Macaca fascicularis: one gene and its partners. The protein of the gene in region 7 purifies or fractionates together with the protein of the main gene of each other region. This does not show direct contact. Links are inferred from orthologs where the notes say so. Each region holds a gene or a part of one and is shown on either strand. Other genes may lie near its edges. The genes, in order: MAVS, NPM1, STAU1, STAU2, ADAR, DHX30 and EIF2AK2.

Evidence for each region.
Region 1: the proteins of EIF2AK2 (region 7) and MAVS purify together in Homo sapiens (affinity purification with western blotting; 3 studies listed by BioGRID and IntAct, with this or other methods). This does not show direct contact. The link is inferred for Macaca fascicularis from reciprocal best matches to the Homo sapiens genes EIF2AK2 and MAVS.
Region 2: the proteins of EIF2AK2 (region 7) and NPM1 purify together in Homo sapiens (affinity purification with western blotting; 3 studies listed by BioGRID and IntAct, with this or other methods). This does not show direct contact. The link is inferred for Macaca fascicularis from reciprocal best matches to the Homo sapiens genes EIF2AK2 and NPM1.
Region 3: the proteins of EIF2AK2 (region 7) and STAU1 purify together in Homo sapiens (affinity purification with mass spectrometry; 4 studies listed by BioGRID and IntAct, with this or other methods). This does not show direct contact. The link is inferred for Macaca fascicularis from reciprocal best matches to the Homo sapiens genes EIF2AK2 and STAU1.
Region 4: the proteins of EIF2AK2 (region 7) and STAU2 purify together in Homo sapiens (affinity purification with mass spectrometry; 3 studies listed by BioGRID and IntAct, with this or other methods). This does not show direct contact. The link is inferred for Macaca fascicularis from reciprocal best matches to the Homo sapiens genes EIF2AK2 and STAU2.
Region 5: the proteins of EIF2AK2 (region 7) and ADAR purify together in Homo sapiens (affinity purification with mass spectrometry; 3 studies listed by BioGRID and IntAct, with this or other methods). This does not show direct contact. The link is inferred for Macaca fascicularis from reciprocal best matches to the Homo sapiens genes EIF2AK2 and ADAR.
Region 6: the proteins of EIF2AK2 (region 7) and DHX30 purify together in Homo sapiens (affinity purification with mass spectrometry; 3 studies listed by BioGRID and IntAct, with this or other methods). This does not show direct contact. The link is inferred for Macaca fascicularis from reciprocal best matches to the Homo sapiens genes EIF2AK2 and DHX30.

The regions. Positions count from the first base shown.
Region 1 is NC_088384.1:83,440,129-83,444,165, reverse strand, and holds the start of MAVS (mitochondrial antiviral-signaling protein), read left to right. Parts: upstream 1-1,237; 5' UTR 1,238-1,297; intron 1,298-4,037.
Region 2 is NC_088380.1:178,186,693-178,190,192, forward strand, and holds part of NPM1 (nucleophosmin), read left to right. Parts: intron 1-463; coding exon 464-583; intron 584-1,182; coding exon 1,183-1,276; intron 1,277-2,191; coding exon 2,192-2,298; intron 2,299-2,395; coding exon 2,396-2,460; intron 2,461-3,500. UniProt on the Homo sapiens protein: Involved in diverse cellular processes such as ribosome biogenesis, centrosome duplication, protein chaperoning, histone assembly, cell proliferation, and regulation of tumor suppressors p53/TP53 and ARF.
Region 3 is NC_088384.1:105,253,024-105,256,974, reverse strand, and holds the start of STAU1 (double-stranded RNA-binding protein Staufen homolog 1), read left to right. Parts: upstream 1-1,151; 5' UTR 1,152-1,404; intron 1,405-3,951. UniProt on the Homo sapiens protein: Binds double-stranded RNA (regardless of the sequence) and tubulin.
Region 4 is NC_088382.1:83,572,816-83,576,836, forward strand, and holds the start of STAU2 (double-stranded RNA-binding protein Staufen homolog 2), read right to left. Parts: upstream 2,801-4,021; 5' UTR 2,773-2,800; coding exon of another isoform or gene 2,719-2,772; intron 2,300-2,718; exon of another isoform or gene 2,117-2,299; intron 1-2,116. UniProt on the Homo sapiens protein: RNA-binding protein required for the microtubule-dependent transport of neuronal RNA from the cell body to the dendrite.
Region 5 is NC_088375.1:106,558,151-106,561,650, forward strand, and holds part of ADAR (double-stranded RNA-specific adenosine deaminase), read left to right. Parts: intron 1-1,235; coding exon 1,236-1,418; intron 1,419-1,730; coding exon 1,731-1,843; intron 1,844-2,299; coding exon 2,300-2,427; intron 2,428-2,600; coding exon 2,601-2,838; 3' UTR 2,839-3,500. UniProt on the Homo sapiens protein: Catalyzes the hydrolytic deamination of adenosine to inosine in double-stranded RNA (dsRNA) referred to as A-to-I RNA editing.
Region 6 is NC_088376.1:110,779,241-110,782,740, reverse strand, and holds part of DHX30 (ATP-dependent RNA helicase DHX30), read right to left. Parts: coding exon 3,304-3,500; intron 2,867-3,303; coding exon 2,746-2,866; intron 2,035-2,745; coding exon 1,885-2,034; intron 1-1,884.
Region 7 is NC_088387.1:85,022,749-85,026,685, reverse strand, and holds the start of EIF2AK2 (interferon-induced, double-stranded RNA-activated protein kinase), read right to left. Parts: upstream 2,801-3,937; 5' UTR 2,765-2,800; intron 1-2,764.

The DNA of each region.
Region 1 (4,037 bases), on a different chromosome or scaffold from region 7:
CCACCACTTTGGGAGGCCGAGACGGGCGGATCACGAGGTCAGCAGATCAAGACTATCCTAGCTAACACGGTGAAACCCTGTCTCTACTAAAAATACAAAAAAAGTAGCCGGGCGTGGTGGTGGGCGCCTGTAGTCCCAGCTATTGAGGGGGGGGGGCTGAGGCAGGAGAACCCGGCAGGCGGAGCTTGCAGTGAGCTGAGATCGCGCCACTGCACTCCCGCCTGGGAGACAGAAAGAGACCCCGTCTCGGGGGTGGGGAGGGGGGAAGTATTAGATATGAAGCTGCTAGAGCCCGGTGGGGAGCAGGCAGGCTTGATTCTTGAACTAATCCACATTTATGCCCTCTTGGCTAAACTAGGCAGAGCTGGTTTTATTACAGTTCAGGTGTGATTAAGCATACTTTGTAAATGCTGAAGGTTGTGAAATATTCACAGGGATATAAAGTACAGTAATAAAATCTCACTTGAGGCCGGGCGTGGTGGCGACAGAGGGAGACTCTGTCTCAAAAAAAAAAAAAAAAAAAAAAAAAAAAAAATAGAAGGCCCTGTGCCTGGAAGGCAGTAAGTGCTCAATAAGTGTTGGCCTCTGCCCCAGAAGAGGAAGGGCGAGACAGATGGCAGGAACTGCGGGAGGTACCTGTCCCAGGCCCTTGGGCGTAAGAGGCCTCTCCCACGCAGGACCCAACCCATACCCAGCCTGCCAGCCAGCCAACCTCGGCGTCCCTGCCTTGCAACTACCTGCCCGGCAGTCCCCCGCCCGCTCCCACTCCCACAGGCCCAGCATGCGCGTCTCTAGGCTATGCATCCTTGCCCCTGTGACTTCAGCGTCACCCAACGTTTATTGGGCACTAACTGTATGCCTGGCCATGGGGATGCAGGAGAGAAAGACACGAAGACCCTCACCCATCAAAACTACCGGCGGAAGGAGGGGCTGTTTCACTTGGGAAGCGTGGGGATGGAATTCTCAGCCCCCTGAGGACTTCGAGGCCGGCCGCCTGCCTGGTTTCTGGCCGGACACTGGACTTCCCCTGGAAGTTGCTCGAGACTACGCGCCCTCAGCAGAAAATCAGGTCGGTTCTCGGTGCCCAGCCTAGCGCTTCTCGACCAGCAAACCAAGGCCCAGTGCCCGCCCCCGCCGCGCCGCGGCCTGCGCCGCCAGCCAACCACGCGCGGCCGAGTAGCCCTGCCCCTCCACGTGACCAATAGCCGCGCGCCCTGCCCGCCCCGCCCCCTCGCCGAGGGAGGGGTCTTGGGCCCCGGGCGGCGGTCGCCAGGTCTCAGGGTCGGGGCTACTCGAGGTAAGATCGCTGCCCGGGCGATGGGTCCTCTCGGCTCAGCACGCACGGACGCCTTTAGGGAAGGTGGCTGCAGCGGCAGTACCGAGTCCGCCGGGACGCCCTGGGTCTGGGGCCGCGGGGGCCCAGGAGGGGACAGGGCGCGCGGGGCTCCGGAAGAGTCGGCCCTGTGGCGCACGGGGTTCGGGAACATTGAGGGCTCCAGGCGCCGCATCCAGCATCCAGGGAAAAGGGGGTGGGTCGCGCTGGGCGTCTGCTCCGGCTAGGGGAAAAGTAGGGCTAGAAGGGGACGGGCAGCGGCCGCTGACCTCTTCCTGCCGCCCGCGGGCCCAGGGTGACGCTAAGTTGGGGCGGAGCCTCGACTAGTTGCGCCTTGAGGTCGAGTGCTGCTGCCCTCCCCTGGGTCCGGACAGTTCTTGGCGGCGACACCAGCTCAGAACAGCCTCCCCGCCCTCAGCGGACCTGGGTCTCGCCCAGGAATCCGATCCGAGGCTGTGAGGCCTGTGCCTTTGGTGGGGGTGGGTATTTATTTCCGGGATGCACTCAGAGCCTCTGGACAATCAGGTCGGAAACTTTGCTGCATCGGGAACACTCTGTCACCTCCTTCCTTCTCAGATGGGAAGGAGGTGCCAGGAAAACAATGAAACAAACCAAAAACACGAAAAAGGCATTCTCTGTATGGAAGCCGTGAAGCCTCAAAAATATCTAGGAGGACAGCCAGCGACCTGGGGCCTGTGGCAGCCATGTGAGGGCAGGGTTAATGTTTGTACTAAATGTTGCTTCCTCCCAAGTGCACCCTCAGCCTCCCCTCCACCAAGTGACCTTGGGTCCTCTTTGGGCTTGAAGGCAGGTGACTGTGTGGGTCTCTCTTGCTGCAGGGGTCTCTGTGCCCTGCAAGGTTTATGACTGGCTACAGTGAGGCAGCAGTTTCTGGGTTCAAATCCTGTGCTAGCCTTTGGCCAGCTGTGCACCTTGGCATCACTTTCCCTGTCACGGGATTGGGGAAGGTTTAACTGAAAGAACCTTAGGATGTGCCTGTCTGCAGTGCGCCCTCCATAAATGTGAACAAATGTGGGCTTCCTTTCCTTTTGGTTGGGCCACATCGTCCCTTCTCCTCCATCTGTGGCTTAGGCTGGAATGCAGAAGAGTGCTTCATCTGACTGCCTCCTGGTACCTGGCTGATGCCATGAGAAAGGAAGGAGAAAGGAGTCTTTTTTTTTTTTTTTTTTGAAATGGAGTCTCACTCTCTTGCCCAGGCTGGAGCGCAGCGGCCCAATCTGGGCTCACTGCAACCTCCGCCTCCTGGGTTTAGAGATTCTCATGCCTTAGCTTCCCAAGTAGCAGGGATTACAGGTGTCTGATACCATGCCTGGCTAATTTTTGCATTTTTAGTAGAGACTGGGTTTCACCATGTTGGCCAGGCTGGTCTCAAACTCCTGACCTCAAGTGATCTGCCCGCCTTGGCCTCCCAAAATGCTGGAATTGCAGGCATGAGCCACCATGCCTGGCCGAGAAAGGAGTCTGTTAACTCCCACAGAGTTGTTCTTTGCTTATTTCTTGAAGGCTCAGAGGACCCCCACCTCACCTTCCTGACTCTCCCGACCTGTCATTAGTACTTGCCCCAGGAGGAATGCAGCAGCGCCTGGTGGTTGGCAAAGCAAGTCGTGCATGTGAGGTTCTGAGGCCAGTGACAAGACTGTTTCCCCTGTGAGGAGGGTCTGGTGGCCCAGCAGCTTTTAGATGCTGTCTGCTTGCAGCACTGCCTCCTGAGAGAGGTTTCATGCCTGCCTGATGCCCATTTGGTCCTCTCCTGTCTCCTTCCCTCCCTGACAACCCACTTGGAATCCAATAGCATCTCAAGCTTCACTTGTTCAGACCTGAGTTCTGGAGTTCCTTCTGAGCCACTGCTCCTCCCCTGGCTTCTTTGGCTTGGTAAAAGGGCACCTTCCATCCATCCAGTGCCCAAGGAGTCATCCTTCTTTTCTCTCCCTTATCTCCTACACCCTCAAAACACCAGGAATCTGGCTGCCTCCTTCCATCTCTGTGGTTCCCATCCTGACCATAATCATCCTGTCTCCTGGGCTGTGGCCTCCTGACTGGTCTCCCAGTTTTCATCCTGGCCCCTCCAAAGTCCTCACAACCACCAGAGAAGTCTTTAACGCAAATCAGATCCTCTTCTTTCCCTGCCAGAACCTTCCAGTGGTTCCCTGTTTCACACCAACTAAAACCCAGAGTCCTTTCTTATAGCACTCTACATGAGTGGCCCCTGCCACCTCCTTGACCTTGACAATCTCTGCCCCTTTCCCTAGCTTGCTTGCTTGCTTTTTTTTTTTTGATGGAGTTTTGCTCTTGTCACCCAGGCTGGAGTGCAATGGGCACGATTTCGGCTCACTGCAACCTCTGCCTCCTGGGTTCAAGCAGTTCTCCTGCCTCAGCCTCCTGAGTAGCTGGGATTACAGGCACCCACCACTATGCTAATTTTTGTATTTTTATTTTATTTTTTTTTATTTTTATTTTTATTTATTTATTTATTTATTTATTTTTTGAGACGGAGTCTCGCTCTGTCCCGGGGCTGGAGTGCAGTGGCGCGATCTCGGCTCACTGCAAGTTCCACCTCCTGGGTTCACACCATTCTCCTGCCTCAGCCTCCCGAGTAGCTGGGACTACAGGCGCCCACCACCGCACCTGGCTAATTTTTTGAAGTTTTTAGTAGAGATGGGGTTTCACCGTGTTAGCCAGGATG
Region 2 (3,500 bases), on a different chromosome or scaffold from region 7:
GTAGCTGGGATTACAGGCATGTGCCACCATGCCTGGCTAATTTTTGTGTTTTTAGTAGAGACGGGGTTTTACCATGTTGTCCAGGCTGGTCTCAAACTCCTGACCTCATGATCTACCTCAGCCTCCCTAAGTGCCGTGGGATTACAGGCATGAGCCACCACCGCCCTTTCCTATGCTTACATGCACAAATACTTACTATTGTATTTCAGATGCTTACAGTATTCAGTACAGTAACATACTGTACAGGTTTGTAGCCTAGGTGTGTGTAGTAGGCTATACCATCTAGGTTTGTTAGTATAAGCACATTCTTATGATTGTACCAAGATGAAATTGTCTAACAACACATTTCTCAGAACCTAGCCCTGTGGTTAAGTGACGCATGGCTGCATATAACATTTAGTGGTGGGGGGGTGTAAAATAGGTGGAACTCAAAGTTGAAGTGGTATTTTTTTTTTGTTCACAGGTCAGTTTAGGGGCTGGTGCAAAGGATGAATTGCACATTGTTGAAGCAGAGGCAATGAATTACGAAGGCAGTCCAATTAAAGTAACACTGGCAACTTTGAAAATGTCTGTACAGCCAACGGTAAGGGCACTTGTATACTTTGGATGTTGTGTCAAGGTTTAATTCTGTTTTAAGGTAGGTTTGGTGTCATTTCGTTGTGCCAAAGAGATAGAAAGTGGTTCTTTATCTTCTGTCACTGGAGTTCAATGGTCAGCTCTTGAACATGGGGGTTTCTGCTGCTAGTTTATCAGAGGTGGAAGAAAGGTTCACTGGTTTGTGGTTTTTGTTTTTTTTTTTTTGAGATGGAGTCTCGCTGTGTTGCCCGGGCTGGAGTGCAGTGGCCGGATCTCAGCTCACTGCAAGCTCCGCCTCCTGGGTTTTTACGCCATTCTCCTGCCTCAGCCTCCCGAGTAGCTGGGACTACAGGTGCCCGCCACCTCGCCCAGCTAGTTTTTTGTATTTTTAGTAGAGACGGGGTTTCACCGTGTTAGCCACGGTGGTCTCGATCTCCTGACCTCGTGATCCGCCAGTCTCGGCCTCCCAAAGTGCTGGGATTACAGGCTTGAGCCACTGCGCCCGACCAGGTTCACTGGTTTGTTGATTTGGCTTATGTGTTTGCTTGTAATGTTTATTGTACATTTTCTTCATATGTTTAGTGATTAAAAATTTCTTCCTTCTAGGTTTCCCTTGGGGGCTTTGAAATAACACCACCAGTGGTCTTAAGGTTGAAGTGTGGTTCAGGGCCAGTGCATATTAGTGGACAGCACTTAGTAGGTATGTTATTTTTATGTATTATACTACTTAGTTTATTCTCTTTAATGCAGTTGCTTGGTTCCCAGTTTGGACTTAAAGCATGGGTATAGTACTACTGTCTTTAAAATAGATTCCAGTGTGAGTCTAGAAATTTATAATTGGAGAGGACAAATAAATTTTTGGAGTGGGGGGACAAAATCTTGATCTGTCACCCAGGGTAGAGTACAGTGGCACGATCTTGGCTCACTGGAACCTCTCCCTCCGGGATTCAAGGGATCCTCCTGTCTCAGCCTCCCCAGTAGCTGGGACCACAGGCGTGTGCCACCAAGCCTAGTTGTGTTTTATAGTTTTAGTAGAGAAGGGGTTTCGTGAAGTTGGCCAGCCTGATCTTAAATTCCTGGCCTTAACGTGTTCTGCACGCCCTGGCCTCTCAAAGTGCTAGTACTACATGCGTCAGCCACTGTGCCTGGCCTAAAATTTTTTTTTAATAAAGACAGTCTCATTCTAAGGCTGGAGTGCAGTGATCGTAGCTTGTTACAGCCTTGAACTACTGGGTTCACATCAGCCTCTGGACTAGCTAGAACTACAGGCACACTCCACCACGCCTGGCTAATTTTTTTTGTATATGTGCAGATGGAGTCTCACTGTGTTGCCCAGATTGGTCTCTTGGCTTCAAGTGGTCCACCTTGGCCTCCCCAAAGTGAGATTACAGGCATGAGCCACCCTGCTCAGGCTTCTTGCATTTAAAACCTGGCAGTGAACGTTAGGCCTCAGAATACCTTTGTTAAAAAGTTCCTTTTCCCATTTGCTCTTTTTTTAAAAAAATAGAATAGAAATCTCAGTTTTTAGAATATTTACTGTATGCTATCAGTGTTCTTTTTTTTTCTGATTTCTTTGCTGCTTGAGTTTTATAATGTCTAATAAATTGTATCTTAGCTGTGGAGGAAGATGCAGAGTCAGAAGATGAAGAGGAGGAGGATGTGAAACTCTTAAGTATATCTGGAAAGCGGTCTGCCCCTGGAGGTGGTAGCAAGGTTCCACAGGTAGAGATGGCAATTTTATTATAGGTTTTGTATTACAGATTTTAGTTTGGTGATAGAACAGCTCTTGTTCATGAGTATGTGCCTTTTCTTTTAAAAGAAAAAAGTAAAACTTGCTGCTGATGAAGATGATGATGATGATGATGAAGATGATGATGATGAAGAGTAAGTATGATCTTAGAAATTTGATACCCTTCTGAAATCTTAACAGATAAAAAGGAATTTGACATTGTTATATGCATGAGGATTTTATAAAAGTCATTTATGAAAAGCCATCCTGTGTAATAGTTTATAATAAAAGGGCAAGTGGTCATCTGTTGTCAGTTTAAGTTAAATGAGCTGAATTGAAAGGATATTGGGTCATGAGCCTTTACAGTGCTGTGACTCGTGACTCTTCAGAAGGGTAGGCTATAGCATTTGCAAAGTTTGATTATGTCCCTTTGTTTTAAAGATTTAGTGGATGTTATACCCATCAAGCCTGGTATGTATTATGGTGAAGTTAATTAGATTGGGTTGAAAGAAAATCTGACTAAAGGCCGGGCGCGGTGGCTCAAGCCTGTAATCCCAGCACTTTGGGAGGCCGAGACGGGCGGATCACGAGGTCAGGAGATCGAGACCATCCTGGCTAACACGGTGAAACCCCGTCTCTACTAAAAATACAAAAAAAATTAGCCGGGCGAGGTGGCGGGCGCCTGTACTCCCAGCTACTCGGGAGGCTGAGGCAGGAGAATGGCGTGAACCCGGGAGGCGGGGCTTGCAGTGAGCTGAGATCCGGCCACTGCACTCCAGCCTGGGCGACAGAGCGAGACTCCGTCTCAAAAAAAAAAAAAAAAAGAAAAGAAAATCTGACTAAATAGCTCTATATTCATTTTACAAATTGTTACTGAAGGTTTGTTATTCCCCAAAAGGATTTTGGCTTGTGCTTTTATGTAGATACTTAATGGACAAAAATAAGATCCTAAAAGGGATATTAAGATTTTTCTTGGGATTTAAAATATGATTGGAAACATTAATTTTTTTTTTATATTAAACTGGATCAAACTTGGTATAAACAGTTACATGCACACTGGTATAAAGTACTGTTTATAATTGGTCTTATGTGTGCAAGTATCAGTAATACATTAAATACTTGGCTCTCAGCTTTGTTCTTCAGTTCTGAGATTGGTCCATATGCATTTATGGAAAACACATTAAATAAAATATAA
Region 3 (3,951 bases), on a different chromosome or scaffold from region 7:
GAGGTTCAAAAGATTCTCCTGCCTCAGCCTCCCAAGTAGCTCTGATTACAGGCGCCCACCACTACACCCGGCTAAATTTTTTTTGTATTTTTAGTAGAGATGGTGTTTCCCCATGTTAGTCAGGCTGGTCTTGAACTCCTGACCTCAGGTGATCCGCCGGCCTCGGCTTCCCAAAGTGCTGGGATTACAGGCGTGAGCCACTGATTCTTTACTGGCCACGCTTCCTCCAACCTCCCATATAATACGGCTGCTAAAACCCACTTAGTTTATCTAGATCTGGGTGAAAGAAATAGCAATCTAGCACTTCTTGTCTTTTTTTTTTTTTTTTTTTTTTTGAGATCAAGTATCACTCTGTCGCCAAGGCTGGAGTGCAGTGGTGCGATCTCGGCTGCAATCTCCGCCTCCCGGGTGCGGTTCTCCTGCCTCAGCCTCCCGAGTAGCTCGGACTACAGGCGCCCACCACCACGCCCGGCTAATTTTTTGTACTTTTAGTAGAGAGGGGGTTTCACCGTGGTAGCCAGGATGGTCTCGATCGCTTGACCTAGTGATCTGCCCGCCTCGGCCTCCCAAAGTGCTGGGATTACAGGCGTGAGCCACCGCATCCGGGCTATTGTCTTTTATCTCACTGTAAAATTTTCTGATTTTATTTATTGTGTGTTTTACTCACACAAGAATGTAAGCTCTACGAGGGCACGGATTTTTTGTCTGTTCACCACTACATTCTTAGCCCTTGGAGCAATGCCTTGCATACAGCAAGCATTTAATAAACATTTACAGATGAAGGAAGAAACAACTGCAGGAAGGAGAGAAAGGAGGGCCAGAGGCAAGACAAGAGGAAAGACCGAGAGAAGGAAGGAAAAAGGAAGTGGAGGAGGAAAGAAGGTAGGCTAGGTTCTCCCAGACACGCTTCAAGTCCAGCAGGCAGCACGAAACTCCCACAACTACAACTCCCGGCAGGCCCCGGGGCCCAGGGCGGCCCGCGGCGGCCCAGGCGGGACAGGGCGCCACTCCCGCTGAGCTCCCGGCGTGCCTTGCGAGCGCAGGCTCCGCCGCAGCGCCCGCCGGAACTTGTAGTCCGGGCCGCTGGTGGGGGTGGGGCCGGGCCTGGAGGCGGGCGGGGGACGGGGGCGGGCGCCTGCCCCTCCCCCGTCACTTCCTGCCGGGCTGCGGGCGCCGGAGCGGCTCTTCAGCGTTTGCGCCGGCGACCGCCGCGTCTCTCTCGGCTCCTGCTTCCTTTGACCGCCCCCCCACCCCCCGGCCCGGCGGCGCCCGCCTCCTCCACGGCCACTCCGCCTCTTCCCTCCCTTCGTCCCTTCTTCCTCTCCCTTTTTCCTTCCTCCTTCTCCTCCTCGCCGCCACCGCCCAGGACCGCCGGCCGGGGGACGAGCTCGGGGCAGCAGCCAGGTGAGGCGACCGGGCCGAGCCGGGCCTGGCGGAGCCCGCGCGGGCGCCGCGGTGGTGGGGAGGTGGGCGGCGGGTGGGGCCTAGGCCTCGGCGGGCCCGCGCGCCCCGCCGCCTTCCCCCGGGCCTATGTAGCCCGCGGGGCCTTCCCGGAGGAGGCGGGTCCTCTTGCGCCCCCCGCCTCCGGGCGCCCTGAGGCCTGGCCTCGGGCGCCCCCATCCCCTCCAGCCCTCGCCGGTGTCACAAACAGGTGCCGCGGCCGCCTTTCCTCGTCCCGCATGGCGCGCGCGGGGATGCCGAAGTTATTCCCGGGGCTGGGGCGCGGGTTGGGGGGTGGACCGCTTCAGGTCCCCTAGGGCTGGAGCCTCTCAGTGTCGCCGGCCCAGGTCTGTAGCTTAGTGGTTAAGAGCACGGCCCAGGTGTCCAAAACGGGTGCCAAACCCGGCTCTGCCCCATTAGGCAAGACACTTAAACTCTTTGTGTCTTGGTTGGAAAGGGGGCTGCTAATACCGTCCCTGCCTCTTAAGACTGTTAGGGTTCAGTGAAATGGGGCGTGTAAAGCGCTTATCAGAGTGCCAGACGCAGAGCGTGTCCCAATAAACCGTCTGCATAATTTATTAGCGTGATATGAAGGTATAATTTAATGGACAGAGTGGATAGAAGTTGACCTACCTATCCGTTTGGGTTTCTTAGAGGCTGCAGTGTTCCGCGTGCCCATGTCCAGAGCCAGGGCATTGTTTTGAGTTCTTAACATCTGAAAGGGGCGTACGCTTAATTGGTACATTGTCGTTTGCAGTCTGTAAACGATGGATGCTATTTCTTTCCATGTCCTCCGCTTAGCCAACTGCAGGATATTCACCATCTCCCGCAGGATGAGCAACCTGTCCATTTCCCCCCGCCCCGCCATCAGCCAGCTTCTTGTTGTCATTCCATTTCTGGGAAAGTTGCTGGCAGAAGCTTCCCTTGAGTTGAGCAAACCTATCTGGAGCACTTGCTGTGTATCAGGCTCTGAAGCGGGGTGTACGAAGATGGAAAAATTTGTCTGTCTGTTCTTTCTCTACACCTCGATAAGTTTTTTTCGCTGAAGCTTTGCTTATATTCCCCCCTCCCTGTTGGCTTTCCTTTTAAGCCCTTGCCCCGCCTCCGTGTTGCAGTATTGCTTGTGTGGAAGTTTTCTCCTGTTCCGCGAAGATACGTGCTTCAGTCTATTCTGCCACTGTTCTTCGGCTGTGTGGACGTTTTTAAGTTCACACTTCTCTTCTGCTTGTAGCTTTCATTGTTAAGAGCGTGGTGGAAAGAGTTCAGTCAGGTTCCTGGTTGATTTTGGCCTTTCAGGAATCCGTGCTTACCAAATGTAAATTACATTGCTACTTGTTGAGGTAAAAACTAAAAATACAGTTGGAGTGTAGAGGGAGCAGTTTCGGTTTTCCTGGTGACAGGTGGGATTTTTAGTACAGCAACTTTATTAAAGCATACTGGGTTTTGAAAAATTCTGTACTTAGTTTTATAGGTGTACTCTAAGGAAATGCAACTTATGGGTGTTCAATTTTATACGAGTAAGGAGTGTGTGTTTACCTCAGTGATCCTCCTGTATCTTAGGATTGTTTTAGGCATTAAATTTCATTAGTGGACTGAAAATATTTTTACTTATACGCTTCTCAACACACATGCGGCAAAGTGGACTCCTTGTTTTTGATATTTTCCTAGAATTTTCTGACAGTCTTACCATTGTTTCTAATTTAAAATATTTGTTTGAATTTTTTTTTTTTTTTTTTTTTTTTTTTTTTTTTTTTGAGATAGCCTCACGCTGTCGCCCAGGCTGGAGTGCAGTGGCACGATCTCGGCTCATTGCAACCTCTGCCGCCTGGGTTCAAGCGATTCTCCTGTCTCAGCCTACCGAGTAGCTGGGATTACAGGCGCCCGCCGCCGCACCGTGTTAATTTTTGTAGTTTTAATAGAGACAGGGTTTTGACATGTTGGCCAGACTGATCTTGAACTCCTAACCTTGTTATCCACCCGCCTCGGCCTCCATAAGCAGGTTAGGCGCGGTGGCTCATGTCTGTAATCCCAGCACTTTGGGAGGCCGAGGCGGGTGGATCACGAAGTCAGGAGACGGAGACCATACTGGCCAACATGGTGAAACCCCGTCGCTACTGAAAATACAAAAAGTAGCCGGATGCGGTGGCGGGCGCCTGCAGTCCCAGCTACTCGTGAGGCCGAGGCAGGAGAATCGCTTGAACCCAGGAGGCGGAGGTTGCCTGTGCGACAGAGCGAGACTGTCTCAAAAAAAAAAAAAAAAAAAAAAAAAAACAACACCAAAAAAACCACGTAAGCAAACAACTATACAAACAGTGTAAAGCATGTCTAATACTGCCATATCACTATGGCATATTGCAATAGGGAAATGGTATTTTAAATACCATTTTAAAAAATCTTTTTATTCTGGAAAATATGTAAAACTCGAATAGTATGGAGAACCCCATGTATTAGTCACTCACTCAGCTTTGACAATTATTAACTCATAGCCAAGGTCGGTTTTGTTTCATGTTG
Region 4 (4,021 bases), on a different chromosome or scaffold from region 7:
TAAGCTAAAATGTAAAATTTACATGGTTTTCCAAGCTCAAGTATTTAGGAGTTAAGGACCACAATGTATGTAACTTACTCTTAAATGGTCCAGGGGAAAAACATTTTGTGTGTGATAGAGAGCAGTAATAAATGCATAAAATGTTAACAGGTGAATCTGAATAAAGGTTACAAAGATATTCTTTGTATTATTATTCTTATTCTTGCAATTTTTCTGTAAGCTTAAAATTACTTCCAAATAAAGTTAAAATTTAATAATTACACAGCATTCTATTTGAAATTAACAATATGTACTTGGATTATACAGCAACATTCTTACAAATACAAAATACTGGTTTTTACGGGGAAAAATGCAGTAATTTGTGAGCAAGTACGTACCATATCCTACCAACTAATTATCACTTAGGAGTAAATTTCAGACTAGCCTACCATATAATGAAATGTGACAATGGTAACTTGACTTGAAACCATAGCAGGAAAACACAAACACACCACATAGTTTTGCATAACTGCTTCGCAAATTTAATACAGGCCTGCTGCAAAAAGCAGCAATCTACAATTAAAGTGATATGTGATATCTCTTGTTTGCAGTAAAATACAAACTGAACAATGAAAACCTGGTCATATTACAAAACAGAGATGGAGAGTAAGTCTTGGTTTTGATAGTTTTATTAAATAAGATTTTTCCACCGCAGCTCAGTTCACAACAGTATACTTGAATCATCTAAAGAAAGCAAGGACGGGGAAGAAACATCCTGGAGAAATGTTGAAATCTTTTCTCCTCCAAGGTTACTATCACCCTGCCTGCCCATCCCAATTTTATTTCAAGTATTCACTATGCTGGTCTGAAACACAGGATGCATCAGAAGCCAAGTAATGCTCAGCGAAAGTTCACCAAAATTGTGAAATCAAACATTAAATAATAAACGTTTTCAGTTGACAGTAAAATATCTTTAAAAGATCATCTCTAGCCTTTCTTTCTGCAGGATCCACCCACTTTAAAATCCTTTGGTAAATTCCCAGGTCTACCCTAATTGAATGGTCCCTCTCTATCTGCTCAAGCAGTTCTTAACCCTTTGTAGTGGGGATAGGGGAAGGGGGACATCACGGCAAATATGGACCCTTACCAAAGAAAATTATTCACAAATGCAAAATTCTACACACATTTCCAAAGACTTTCAGATCCCCACGGCCATTATCCCCACCCCTCCCTAAGAATCCCACTGTGGCGTGCTCCTCCATAGCCTCTGCGGAGCACCCCCCGCCCCCAGGCCACAGCCACCGGCTCGCCCCCGGAGAGACTGGAGTTCCTGCTCTCACACAGCGGATTCTGTAACTGAGCTTTGTCTCCTCGCCCAACTCCCTTCACCCCGGCAAGGTCACTACCGCCAACTACCCCTTTAAGCCGAGCCATCACGGTAGGAGTTCGTAAGAGCCACAGCAGAACTTGCCTGTCATAGGATACATTTTGTCCCCTCGGCCCCACCTACCCTCCCATTTCGGCAAGTTACGTCTTTACCACTCGCCCATTCTACAGAAATAGCCGCCGCCACCACCCTCAGGCTCGCCCCGGCCCCGCCGCTCCGCCTCCAGCGCCCCCAGGCCCATTCCCCACAGACCCTCCCCAGGCCGCCCTCCCCTGCCCTACCCCAGGCGCTCCCTCTCCCTCGCAGCCACACCGTGGCTGCACTCGCCGTCCCCTCTTCCGGCCGCTACCACCCCGGCCCCCCAGAACCCCAGCCTCCCGCGCCCGCAGCCGCGTTCCTGCCTCCCCCACCTCCGCACCCCGACTTGGCCCGGCCTCCTCGCGTTCCTCCCGGCTCCTCCCCTCAGGACACCTGTGTCGTCCCACCCCCTCCGCCACACACGCCCCCACCCCCCACCCCAAATCCTTCGCCTCCCGGTCCTCCCTCCCACGCCGGTCTCCCCTCCCCCCTGCTGCCCCGAGAGAGCCCGAGGTGGGAGGGAAGGCGCGGGGGAGAGGAGGCCGCGAAGGGGGCCGCTCTTCTCCGGGTTCCCCGTGCCGCGGACCTGCAGGGCTCCCCAGCGCCCTCTGCCTCCTCCGCCGGCGGGGCGGAAGTCGGGGTCTCCCGGGCGCCCCCGACGAGGGTATTTACCTTCTTGCCAGGAACACTTTGCAGACGGCTCCAACATTGGCAAACAGTACAGAGAACTGACCCCGCTCGGCCGCCGCCGGCTTCCACCCCTCGGGCTCCCCGCCCCCCGCCTCCGCCCGCCTCCGCCCGCCTCCCGGGCGCTCCCGCCGCGCCCTCCCGCGCTCGCGCCGCGCGCCCCCGCCTGCGCAGCCGCTCCCGCGCCCCAGCACGCCCGGCCGGCGCGCGCGCCCGGCACCGGCTCTATCTCCACTCCGCCTCTCGCCGGCCCGCGACCAAGCGCAGCCATTGTTCGCGACGCAGCTCCCGCCCCCTGGCGGCTGCCGGGCCCCCCAGCTGCAAGCTCTGCGGGGCTAGCGGCGGCGAGTTGGGCCCCCGAGAGAGGGCCGTTCCGGGGGCCCTTGGGCAAGGGGGCGAGCGACTGCGCTAGGAGCGCGCCCAGTCCGCAGTCTCCTCGTCCCCGGCGCGGCTCCCCGCCCCCTCGTCTGCCGGGGGTGGGCCTGGGGCAGCCCCTTCCACACCTGCAGTCGGCAACTTCCTTCCCCGCCCGACTGACCGTCTGCTCTTTCTGGTCCGCACCCTGTGTTCTGATTCCCCGCTCGTACCTTTCCCAGGCTCTCAGGCTGCCCCTCTGTGCTGTGCAGGGGACGCGCGACCATCCCGCGTCTGCTCCGGCCGCCGCTGTGCGACACACCGTTTAGCGGATCCTGCACCTTTCCAGACGGGGGAGGGGGCGAGGAGGAGGTTGCTTCACCGTCTCATCCAGCAAACACCAGGGATCCGTAATCACCTGCTCGCCAAGACCCGCGGCGTGGCCAGACCTCCTCCTCCACCGAAAAAATTAGTCACATCCAAAAGAATCCTTGGAGCCAAAAATGAGAACCATTGAAAACAAAGCCCTAGATCCTAGATTTATGAGGCAAGAGTGCCAGAAAACAGAAATTACGTCTTGATTCGTCCTGGTTTTGATGTGGATTACTTTTGTCTAGATAACTTCAACCCAGTTAAGCTCGACGAAATTGAACACTTCGTTTAGTAACGGGCACCAAAAATAATCTGACAATAAAAGAAATTTCGAAATAGAACTATTAGTGTGCTTTCACAAACTTATTCATTTGCAACGTTATTTCTAGAGTTTCTTCCCGGTGTCACTTCTCTGAGAAATGTCTCCCAGGACGGTGATTTCAGTCATCATCTAAAACCAATCTCCTGTCTACACCTGGGAAGATAGTGTGCGTCCTGGTTAAGAGCAAGGGCTCCAGAGTCAGATAACCAAGGCTGGATATCCGCTTACTAACTGGAGAGGAGATCACCGGCATGTTACTTATCCTGAACCTCAAGAGGAGACTACATGTGATATTTTGTATTTAAATGTGACAATACATATGAAGCCCTTTAAACAGGGCCGGGCATGTAGTACCTCTCCTGGTACAATGTTAGCTACAGCTGTATTTTTCCTCCCAGAACTCTTTCCTATGCTTTTTCCCTCCTTTTCACCTCTGCCAGTTACCTCGTATTGAACATGTTGCATCCTTCCCAAATTTGCAGCGCTCCTTCTAGCGGCTCACGCACCTAGTCAGCATTCTCATACAGTCATGCCTTACCTAGCCACAGGCATATGTTCTGAGGAACGTGTCATTGAGCGATTTTTGTTGTTTTGTGCACATCATAGCGTGCTCTTACGCAAACCTAGGTAGTCTAGCCAACTACTCGCTTTGGCTATATGGTATATAGCTGTTACTCCTAGGCTACAAACCTGTAGAGTGTGTTACTGTGCTAATACTGTAGGCAATTGCAACACAAGGTATTTGTATCTAAACATAGAAAACGTACAGTAGAAGAACTGTATAATCCTTTTCTTTCTTTCTTTCTTTCTTTTTTTCTTTTTTTGAGATGAAGTCTCAGCTC
Region 5 (3,500 bases), on a different chromosome or scaffold from region 7:
CACGTCAGCAGTCATCATGGTGGTCCTGAAACCCTGCTAAATACCCTAAAGTATAGACACAGTTACATGGAGCCAGTGCTCCACTCCTAGGTGGATGCTCCAGAGAGATGGAGACCTGTGTCCACGCGGAAACTAATATGTGAATGTTCATGGCAGCGTTACTCACAAGAGCCAAAAAAGTGGAAACAACCCAGATGTCCATCAGCTAATGGATTCATAAATAAAACATCAAGTATATCCATAAATTGAGTATTATTTGGCCATAAAAAGAAGTGAAGTGCTGATACATGCTTACGATATGGATGCACTTGAAAACTTGATGCCAAATGAAAAAAGCCAGTCACAAAAGATCCCATATTGTATGATTCCATTTATATGAAATGTCCAGAATAGACAAATCCATAGAGACAGAAAGTAGATTAGTGGTTGCCAGGGCCAGGAGTGGGAGGGTTGGAGAGATGAGAAGTGACTGCTCCAATGGGTAGAAGGTTTCTTTTTGGAGCGATGAAATGTTCTAAAATTGACTGTGGTGACAGTTGCAGAAGTCTGTGAATATACTAAAAACGACTGAATTGTATGCTTTAAATGGGTGAACTGTATGGCATGTGAACTATATTTCAGTAAAGCTGTTGTTTTTTTTTTAAACCCTATGGTGGTTTCCCACTGCACTGCATATACAAGCAAAACCTGCTGTGATCACCCGGCCTCCTCTCATGCCACTTTCCCCATTCCTCACATATGCTGTGTCCACACTGGCTCTCTGTCTGCCCCCTAAACAGCCAATCCGCTGGCTACCTTGGGCCCGTTGCTTTTGTCCTGTGTGCCTGAAACACTCTTACTCCAGCTGTCCTTCTCCTCCATGTCTGGGTTCCCCTGCTGCTGCTGTCCCAGGAGGTTCCCCCTGTGGTCCTCCGTCATAGCTCCCTCAAAGCCTTCAGAGCACTATCAGCATGTGGAATTCTGTATGTACTGGCTACTGGTTTAGTGTCTGTTCTCTCCCCTTTCAATCTCCTCACCACTGTAGATGTTTTAGGAGGACAAGCATCTTACTTGGTTTTGCTAACCAAGTTCTTTCCCAGCACCAAGCATAGTGCCTGGCACATAGCAGATGCTGTGAAATATGTGAAGAATGAATGAATGTTGCCTGTGGCTCAAGCTTAAGGAGGATAAAAACCACGCCAGGGAGTGGTTTGGTCCACTGGCCCCTGTAAGTCTGACCCAAGTCTCTCACATAGGAGAAGGCACAATCCCTGTGGAATCCAGTGACATTGTACCTACGTGGGATGGCATTCGGCTCGGGGAGAGACTCCGTACCATGTCCTGTAGTGACAAAATCCTACGCTGGAATGTGCTGGGCCTGCAAGGGGCACTGTTGACCCACTTCCTGCAGCCCATTTATCTCAAATCTGTTACATTGGGTAAGAGGCCTGCCTTGGGATCTGGAACTGGTCTGTCGTCCTTGTGCCCAAATCCCAAACGGCATGTTTTGTTGCCAGGTGTTTTGTCTCCCCTGTCAAAGTGAGCATGAGTCACCCCTCAGTTACTGGTTGTCCAGTCTGCTGTGCTAGGGAGATCCTGGGTAGCCCCGGTCAGAAGGTGCTTCCTAACAAGGCAGCTGTTTCTCTTTCTTGACAACTGCATTTTGTACCTCCAGAATCCCCACATGCCCCTGCCTCTTAACAGCATTTGGTGCAAACACAGGTATATATGTTTCTCTTTTTTGTACACAGGTTACCTTTTCAGCCAAGGGCATCTGACCCGGGCTATTTGCTGTCGTGTGACAAGAGATGGGAGTGCATTTGAGGATGGACTACGACATCCCTTTATTGTCAACCACCCCAAGGTGCTATAACCCCCCTTCTGTTTTCCCTGACATTTTTCTCCTTTTCAAGCAGTCACATAAATAGAGGAAAATTGTACAATATGAGCAAGGGGAGCATTGCCCGCAGTGGTAGCCCACATTGGAACATTACCCCCAGGGGAACACTGCCCGCAGTGGTAGCCCACAAGGGAACATTGCCCACAGTGGCCCACCACCAACATTTGTTGGTGTCCCAAGAACTTTAACTGTCTTCCTTTTGGATGCCAAGGGCTTTCCTTCTCTTAGTCTGGAATTAATCTGAATCGAGGTGGAGTTAGTATGTCTAGAGTGTGCTCTGTCTTAGCCAAACAGAACCCTAAATACAGGAGAAAGATCATGACTCTGCATTTCCTCTTTGCTGTAAGTCTTGAGTCCCTGCTTCAGAATCTTATTCCTGAAAGGTTTCCATCTTTCTCCCATTGCTTCTGGGATTCCTAGGTTGGCAGAGTCAGTGTATATGATTCCAAAAGGCAATCTGGGAAGACTAAGGAGACAAGCGTCAACTGGTGTCTGGCTGATGGCTATGACCTGGAGATCCTGGATGGTACCAGAGGCACCGTGGATGGGTAAGGAGACAGGAGAGCGCAGTGAGGACCAAGCCTCTGCCCTGACTTGCAAGGGTGCATCATACCTCTGCAGTCTCAGGGCTTGAGAGCCACCTTCCCTGCCACGGTTTCTCCACTGTGAGCTCCTCATCTTACAGGTCCCAGGTGAATAATGAGTGCTTTTGTTTCTCTAGGCCACGGAATGAATTGTCCCGGGTCTCCAAAAAGAACATTTTTCTTCTATTTAAGAAGCTCTGCTCCTTCCGTTACCGCAGGGATCTACTGAGACTCTCCTATGGTGAGGCCAAGAAAGCTGCCCGTGACTACGAGACGGCCAAGAACTACTTCAAAAAAAGCTTGAAGGATATGGGCTATGGGAACTGGATTAGCAAACCCCAGGAGGAAAAGAACTTTTATCTCTGCCCAGTATAGTATGCTCCGGTGACAGATGGATTAGGGTGTGTCATACTAGGGTGAGAGAGAGGTAGGTCGTAGCGTTCCTCATCACATGGTCAGGGGATTTTTTTTTCCTCCTTTTTTTTCTTTTTAAGCCATAATTGGTGATACTGAAAACTTTGGGTTCCCATTTATCCTGCTTTCTTTGGGATTGCTAGGCAAGGTCTGGCCAGGCCCCCCTTTTTTTCCCCCAAGTGAAGAGGTAGAAACCTAAGAAGTTATCTTTTCTTTCTATAACTCAAAGCATACATAGTCACTGAGCACCTGCAGTCCATTTCCTCTTAAAAGTTTTTTTTTTTTTTCCATTTCCTTTCCCTTTGTGTTTGCTACACTGACCTCTCGTGGTCTTGATTAGGTTTCAGTCAATTCTGGATCATGTCCGAGACTGATGATTTCTTTTGTGGATTACGCAGACCCCTCTACTTCCCCCTTCCCCTTCTGAGGTTCTTTCCTTGTGATCAGAATTTCTCCTTTTCTCCCTCAGAGGGTAAAAAGGTGAACTTAAAGGATCTGGTGAAACATTTGTAAGGGTAGGAGTTGAAAACTGCAGTTCCCAGTGCCACGGAAGTGTGATTGGAGCCTACAGATAATGCCCTGCCATCCTCCCATCCTGCACTTTAGCCAGCTGCAGGGCGGGC
Region 6 (3,500 bases), on a different chromosome or scaffold from region 7:
AACAGCCCTACGTCTGGGGAAGGCCCTGAGGAGAAACCACTCACTGTGCGACTAGAGCCCCTCCAACACCACAATAGGCCCCTGTCACCTCCGTGAATTCCCAACGTGTACCCTCGGACCAGCCAGACCAGGCCCTCAATGACGCTAGAATACACCCCACAGACTCCCTCTTCCTTTGCTGCCTCATCAAAGCCTTCCTCCCTCAATCATTCTTCCATCCCACCTCCTAGTCCCTACATGGCACCTGACCCATCTGTAACCCCATCATATAGATACACGTGGAGTTTCCTATAAATGTTGATTATAATGCAACTTGATCAAACAAGCCACTGCAAGGAAAACACTGTGTCTTACCTCCTTACATACCTAAAGCCACCTCGCCAGAGATAAAACATGGCATTCCAATACCTCAGGCACGTGGGTAAAACTAGTCTTGTGTTCCTGTCACCTCTAATGTCTGGACTCTGCTCGCCCTTCGGAGCCCAGATCAAACACTTCCTCCTTAAATAAGTCTTTCCACAACAGGGGCCAACCCCCTGCCTCTGGGCACGCTGGCACCATCAGCTGTAAGGACCTCAAGGACAGGAATCTGGTCCTCGTTCCACAGGAGGTGCCAACACAAGCTCCTTGCTGCAAGAACAGGCTTCCGCCCTCTCCCCAGACTTCATGGGTTTTACCCACCAGCCTGACAAATGGCCCTCCAGCCACTGCAAAGCTTGTTCCTTCCCAGACAGGCCCCACCATACCAAGGTGCCTCTGCTCAGTGCGTGTGCGTCAGGCCAAAGCTCAGATGCCTCCAGTTCTACAGTCAGTCCTTGTTCTGCCCTCGAGTCACAGGTAGCAGATCTATGCCTTCTATCTCACCACCTGCCTGTCCCCTCTTCCTCATTTTCTCCAGGTTCTTGTTACCCCTGACCATCAGCTATAACTAAAACGTGGTTCCCGGGGCCAACTGCACCCATGAAATGGTGCACCTGACCATTCAGAGTAAAGCAGGCCCATTTCTGTCTTGTTCTGCAAACTAAACCTCCACCAACATGGGTTGAGATTACTAACTCCTCAGGCAGTCAGACACAATCCCAACGCCCTCCCACTACTGTGCCATCAGCTAACTCCACAGCCCCTTTAAAGAGAACTGCCATGGCCAGGAGCTGTGGCTCATGCCTGCAATCCCAACACTTCAGGAAGTGAAGGCAGAAAGATTGATTGAGCCCAAGATTTTAAGACCAGCCTTGGCAACACAGTGAGACCCTTGTCTCTACAAAAAATGTTTAAAAATTAGCTGGGAGTGGTGGCGCATACCTATGGTCCCAGCTATGCAGGACGCTAAGGTGAAAGGATCGCTCAAGCCTAGGAGGTCAAGGCTGCAGTGAGCCATGATCGTGCCACTACATTCCAGCCTGGGCCACAGAGACCCTGTGTCAAAAGAGAACTGCCAGCTGTCTGCCACACTGTCTCTACCTTGATGCTGACTGCTTCCTCAATCTTCACTGCAGTCACAAGTCACATTATTCATTTTGGCCACAAAACCCGGGTTATCAGGATCATACTGGACACCAGGTCTGCCTCTCAAAACAGGCCCGGCTCCTCCTGGCTTTATACTATTCAGAACAATGAGCAAGTTTCCTCCCGGCCTCACCAGGTTCAGGCCAACAGTGTGGAAAAGGCTGGGGCACAGTCAAAGCATCTCCACAGGGGCTCTGGGAAAGCTGTGGCAACAGCCACAGGGCCTACAAGCAAGGCCTGCAGACCAGCTGTCTTTGTGCCAGGCAAAAGGCCTGCTGTGGTGGTTTCATTTCCTAAAAAATGGGACCCATTTGCCACTGGCAGAGGGGAGCTTCAAGACATTCTCATGCATCACACCCAGGACCTTCCTGGACTCACCTTCAGTTTCTTGCAGGCCAAGGCTGCCGCCTTATTCTCAGCCTCTGCTTTGCGGCGCCCTTTGGCAACAAAGGTCATGGGGCAGGGCCAGAGCAGGGTGAGTGTAGACAGCTTGGTCTTGGTGCCCACAGTATGGAACTGCATGAGATTCTACATGGAAGGCAAGAGAGATGGTTACAGAAATGCAGGGAATGGGAAGAGACTTGGGGCATTCTCAGAATGCCAAGGAGCCCAGAGACGGAAGGAGCCACCATCTCAGCAGATGCCCGGCATGAGCCATGCTAGAGGTGCTGCTGCATAGCCAGGAGCAGGCCCATGGGCTCGGGCACTCTAGTCCCAGGCTCGCTTCTCCTGCTATACCTCGACTTCCACTGCGGAAGACAGTGCTTGGGCAATTCCACCACCTGCCCTCCTAGCTCAGTCATCTCAGCACCTTCGTGGCAGCTGTGGGTTGAAGCTGTCAGCATGAGCTAAAAACCAGGCACATCCTGCGGGAGCAAAAAGGCCCTGCACCCGGACAGAAGCTCTGCCTAACCGAAGCCCCTTTGCCTGGTAGCAAGAGAGAAACTCATACCTCACCAAGACCCACACCTCTAAGCCCTCCCCACTGACAATCCACCGCCCAGAACAGGTATGGGTCTTCTGCTCCTGCGGCCCCCAGCCCACGCCCTGTGCTGCTAAGACTTGACCTCCATTCTGTCACACTGACTGCTTTTCCTTCCACGCCGGAGTTCCACCAGCTGGCCGAGGTGTGGGCTGGAGGAACAGGCCCCCTCAGCCCTCTGTAAACCTGCCTTTGGGGAACACCAGACATGACCAAGTAAATGGCCCCCACACACACTTCTAGGAGACCCAACTCACCTTAGCTGTGGAGGATGATGTTGCAATCTGAATCACCTTGGCCAGAAGGTTCTTGGGAAGTGGAAACTGGGTCAGAGCCCTGATAGCACTGTCATCATCTGTCATCTCAAAGGAACTCCCCCTGGGAGGACCAAAAGTTTAGCTGAAAGAATCTTCTCTTCCTGGACCAATTTCCCTGAGGCTCTGAGATGTAAGGGTGAGGACACTGCACTGCAGCAGGGAGCCAAAAGGCCAGGAGGCATGAAATGGATGGGAAACCGGGCATCTCTGCTCCTCCCACAGCCACACTGGATGGGGACTGCGCCCTCCATTCCCTCACATAGATAAGACAGCAGAGAGCAGGTTCTCCGTGCTGCTGTTCTGCAAAAGCCCAGCCACATAGAAGACCACAGCTGGCTGTCCCCCAAGAATGGGCAGACACACACTGAGTGACGGGACACACAGGCTGCAATGTGAGGCAGGGCACTCCCATCTCAGAGAAAGCTAGCAGAGAACATTCGCCCATCCCTGTGTCAAGGCACAGCCAGCCTCCGCTGCATCCCCATCCCCAATCTGTACCTTGAGTCCCTGAGTGGGGTGTGGGAATCCTGCTGGGTCATGGACAAGAAGTCGGTAACATCTATGGTCCCTTCTTCTAGCTCTTCCTCCTCATCCTCTTCTTCTTCCCGGCCCAAAGAGCGGGATAGGCCCCCAGGTCCCCCTGGCCGAATGCTCTCCGGATTCAGCTGCCGCCAGGAAGTAGGGGGCATGGTGGG
Region 7 (3,937 bases):
CCAAAATATCTCCAGATACGCCATCCAGGACTTGTCACCTGCTTTCCTCTACATTTATAGTGCAATATCTGCATTCTCTCTGTACCCACCAATCTCCCAATCTCCACTCATCAATCAGGATCAACACAGCCTTCTTTGATGCTGGAGGGTCAGCTAGTATGGGCTTGCCACTCCACCTTGCCCAACCTTCATCACAGCCCTGACTGCTTTTTAAACTAATTAGTGAGTTATTTGGGGAGCAGATTCTACATCTTATTCACTCATCTGGAAGAAACCTCCATCATAATCACTAAAAAATGATATTTGTCCATCTTACTAATGCCCAGACATTACTTCGGCTATGCCTCCACTCCCTTCCAGCGACTATAGTCGCCCTGCAGGCTTAGTCCCCTCCAGGGCCAGCACATGGCTTCACATAGATCATTCCTTCAACTAGCATCTGATTAATAAATGAATAAACGGTGGGGGGCGGTGGCTCACATCTGTAATCCCAGCACTTTGGGAGGCCGAGGTGGGTGGGTCACCTGGCCAACATGGGGAAACCCCGTCTCTACTAAAAATACAAAAATTAGCTGGGCATGGTGGTGCATGCCTGTAATCCCAGCTACCCAGGTGGCTGAGGTAGGAGAATCACTTGAACCCTGGAGGCAGAGTTGCAGTGAGCTGAGACTGCACCACTGCACTCCAGCCTGGGCAACAGAGCAAGACTCCATCTAAAATAAATAAACAAACAAACAAACAAACAAACTACAGGTCAAGTATTCAGGATCTCCAGGTTCAAATAAACAAACTGAAAAACAATAGCATAATCTGCCCAAGATTCTAAATTTCCAAGTGACATCAGAGAGCCTGTCTTTTACCTTCCATCTGGCATGGCATTTTTAGTACTAAAGAAAACATGGGGCCATGTAATCCTCATGCCTGTAATCCCAGCACTTTGGGAGGCCGAGGCAGGTGGATCACCTGACATCAGGAGTTCGAGACCAGCCTGGCCAACATGATGAAATATACTAAAAATATAAAAATCAGCTTGGTGTGGTAGTGTGTGCCTGTAATCCCAGCTACTCAGGAGGCTGAGGCAGGAGAATCACTGGAACCCTGGAGGCAGAAGTTGCAGTGAGCCGAGATCAAGCTACTATACTCCAGCCTGGGCGACAGAGTGAGACTCCATCTTGAAAGGAGAAAGAAAAGAACAAAGAAGGGAGAGAGAGAGAGGGAAACAAGGAAACAAGGAAGGAAGAGAAGAGGAAAAAGAAAAGAAAGGAGGGAGGGAGGGAAGGAAGGAAGGAAAGAAGGAAACATGGGCAACAGGACGCCTCATTATTTTGGAATTCAAAAGGGAGTTTTTGAATTACCATTCATTTAGCAAACATTTAATCAGCACCTATTATGTACTAGGTGCTGGGACTATACTAGTGAACCCTGCTATAGGTAATTGTGAAATTACCAGTGGAGGAACAACCCATAAGAAAATGTCACCGGGTGGCCGGGCGCAGTGCCTCATGCCTATAATCCCAGCATTTTGGGAGGCTGAGGTGGGGGATCACAAGGTCAGGAGTTTGAGACCAGCCTGGCCAATATGGTGAAACCCCGTTGCTACTAAAAATTAAAAAATTAGCTGGCTGTGGTGGTGGGCACCTGTAATCCCAGCTACTCGGGAGGCTGAGGCAAGAGAATCGCTTGAACCCGGGAGGCGGAGGTTGCAGTGAGCCAAGATCGCACCACTGCACTCCAGCCTGGCAACAGAGTGAGAATCTGTCTCAAAAAAAAAAAAGAAAAGAAAAAGAAAGAAAAAAAAAAGAAAAGAAAAGAAAAAAGAAAAGAAAAGATATCACCAGGTGGTAACTACTATGTTGAAAATTGAGGTAGTGGAAGGGGGAACAGCAAGGGCAGAGTGGGGTTTCTTGCATATGCAGGTTGTTTGAGGAAGTCTGCTCTGATAAGCTGGCATGGGAAGCAGTGTAGGATAAGGGAGGGGTTTCCCCATGCAAGTATCTGAGGGAGAAGCTTTCCAGGAAGAAGAAACAGGCCAGTGTAAAGGCCTAGAGGCTGGAGGATGCTTGGCTGTGCGCCAGGAACAGCAAGGAAGCTAGCATGGGCGGAGTAGGGGGTGCAAGGGACCTTGCCGGTGAGCCTTAATAAATGTTTATAGGATTCTGACGAGACAGGAAAGCTATGGGGAAGGTCTGAGCAGGGCAGAGTCTGGTTCTTACTTAAAGGAACATTCCAGTTGCTGAGGTGTGTAGAAGAGATAGGGGGTGGAGGTTCGGGGGTAAGGAGACGGAGTGGGAACAGGAACCGAGGCCAGGCAATTGGGAAACTACTGCAACTCTCCATGCAAGAGATTTTTAGCCAGAGATTGTTCAGCCAGTCTATGAGTATTTCAGGCCTCCGTATTTTCCATATGTCAAGCCACTAGGCCTATTCATCATCCACTAGACCCAGCCCCACAACCGCTGCCTAGGAAATATTTGTTACTTGCACTGATAAAAATTCTTCACGGGAAGAAAATGGCTTTCAGTCCCCATCCCGCTCCACGATCCTTTCCCTGGATTCAGGGAGGGCCCCACACCCGGGCTGTGGGCCTCGGACTGCTCTCCCATTGCTGACCCAGCCGGGGCCAGGGGCTTCGGATCAGCTTCCGCGTCCTGAGCTGGGGACGCAGGATCGGCGGGTCCCGCCCCGGCTGGGCCCGCAGCCCCTATCCCGTGGCCCCCCGGCCCCTGCTCCCTGCGCTCCCTCGGCTGCCCCCGGCCCCGCTCACCTGCGCCGCCGCCGCCGCCGCCGGCCAGAGATCCGCAGCTTCGGGAGAGCTGACTCTCAGTTTCGTTTTCCCCTCGGACTCCGCCTTCCCTGCAGCCGCCCGGCCCCCTCTCGCACAAGCCCTCGTCTGCTACGGGATTGGGGTAAATTGGCACTGGATCCAGAGTGCGCGCGAGAGGCGCCGGCGGCCGGCACTGGCGGGCGGGCTTGTCACCCATGTGCAGCCCCTGCGCGGCCAGGACCCCGCACCCCCAACCGCCTCCCCCTCCCCGCCCCGGGGCTCCTGGAGCAGGTGGCTTTGGCTGCATTAGGTTCTGGAATCAAGGGTTCCACTTACTCTCAACACAAATATTTGGAGAGGGGTTGGGAAGATGGGTCTTAGCAGCTCCATTTTACAATAGAGGAAATTGAGTAAATGAACTTACCTAGGGGTCCAGCGGCTCGTAAGTGGGAAAGCCAGGATTCAGTTAAAGTCCAGGCCTGTAAACACCAAAGCGCCCCTCCCCACTTGCCACACCACTGCCCCCTCACTTTTACAAGGCTGGGGATGCGAGGCCTGGGGGCGTAATCTCCTTCACTCTGCTCCCACCCATCCATTCACTCATGAGCAGACACTTGTCAGCCGCTGTAAAAGCACCTGCGGGCCAGTCCTGCTGTTAAAGAGAGCCACCTGCTCCCTACAGTACCCCAGGGAGTTTCCTACTATAGTCCAACACCAGTAGTCCTCGATTTATAGAAATTCTACTCACCTGATGGACTGTGACACACTCCCAGAGTCACACAGAGTTCCACAGTCATTGGCACAGTGACTAATGAGTATTGAGGCACAGAGGAGTTAGATTAACACAACTAGTAAGCAGCGGAGTTAGAACTATAACCAGGAGTCTGTACTCTCAATATCTTAGCTGGGATAAGAGAGGGAGGTGGTCCCAAGACAGACCTCAAATATACTTTAAATATTATGCCTAGGCCGGTGCAGTGGCTCATGCCTGTAATCCCAGAAATTTGGGAGACCGAGGGGGGGGCAGATCACCTAAGGTCAGGAGTTCAAGACCAGCGTGGCCAACATGGCAAAACCCCATCTCTACTAAAATACACAAAAATTAGCCAGGCGTGGTGGCGGGCACCCGTAATCCCAGCTACTCCGGAGGCTGAGGCAGGGAGAATTGTTTGA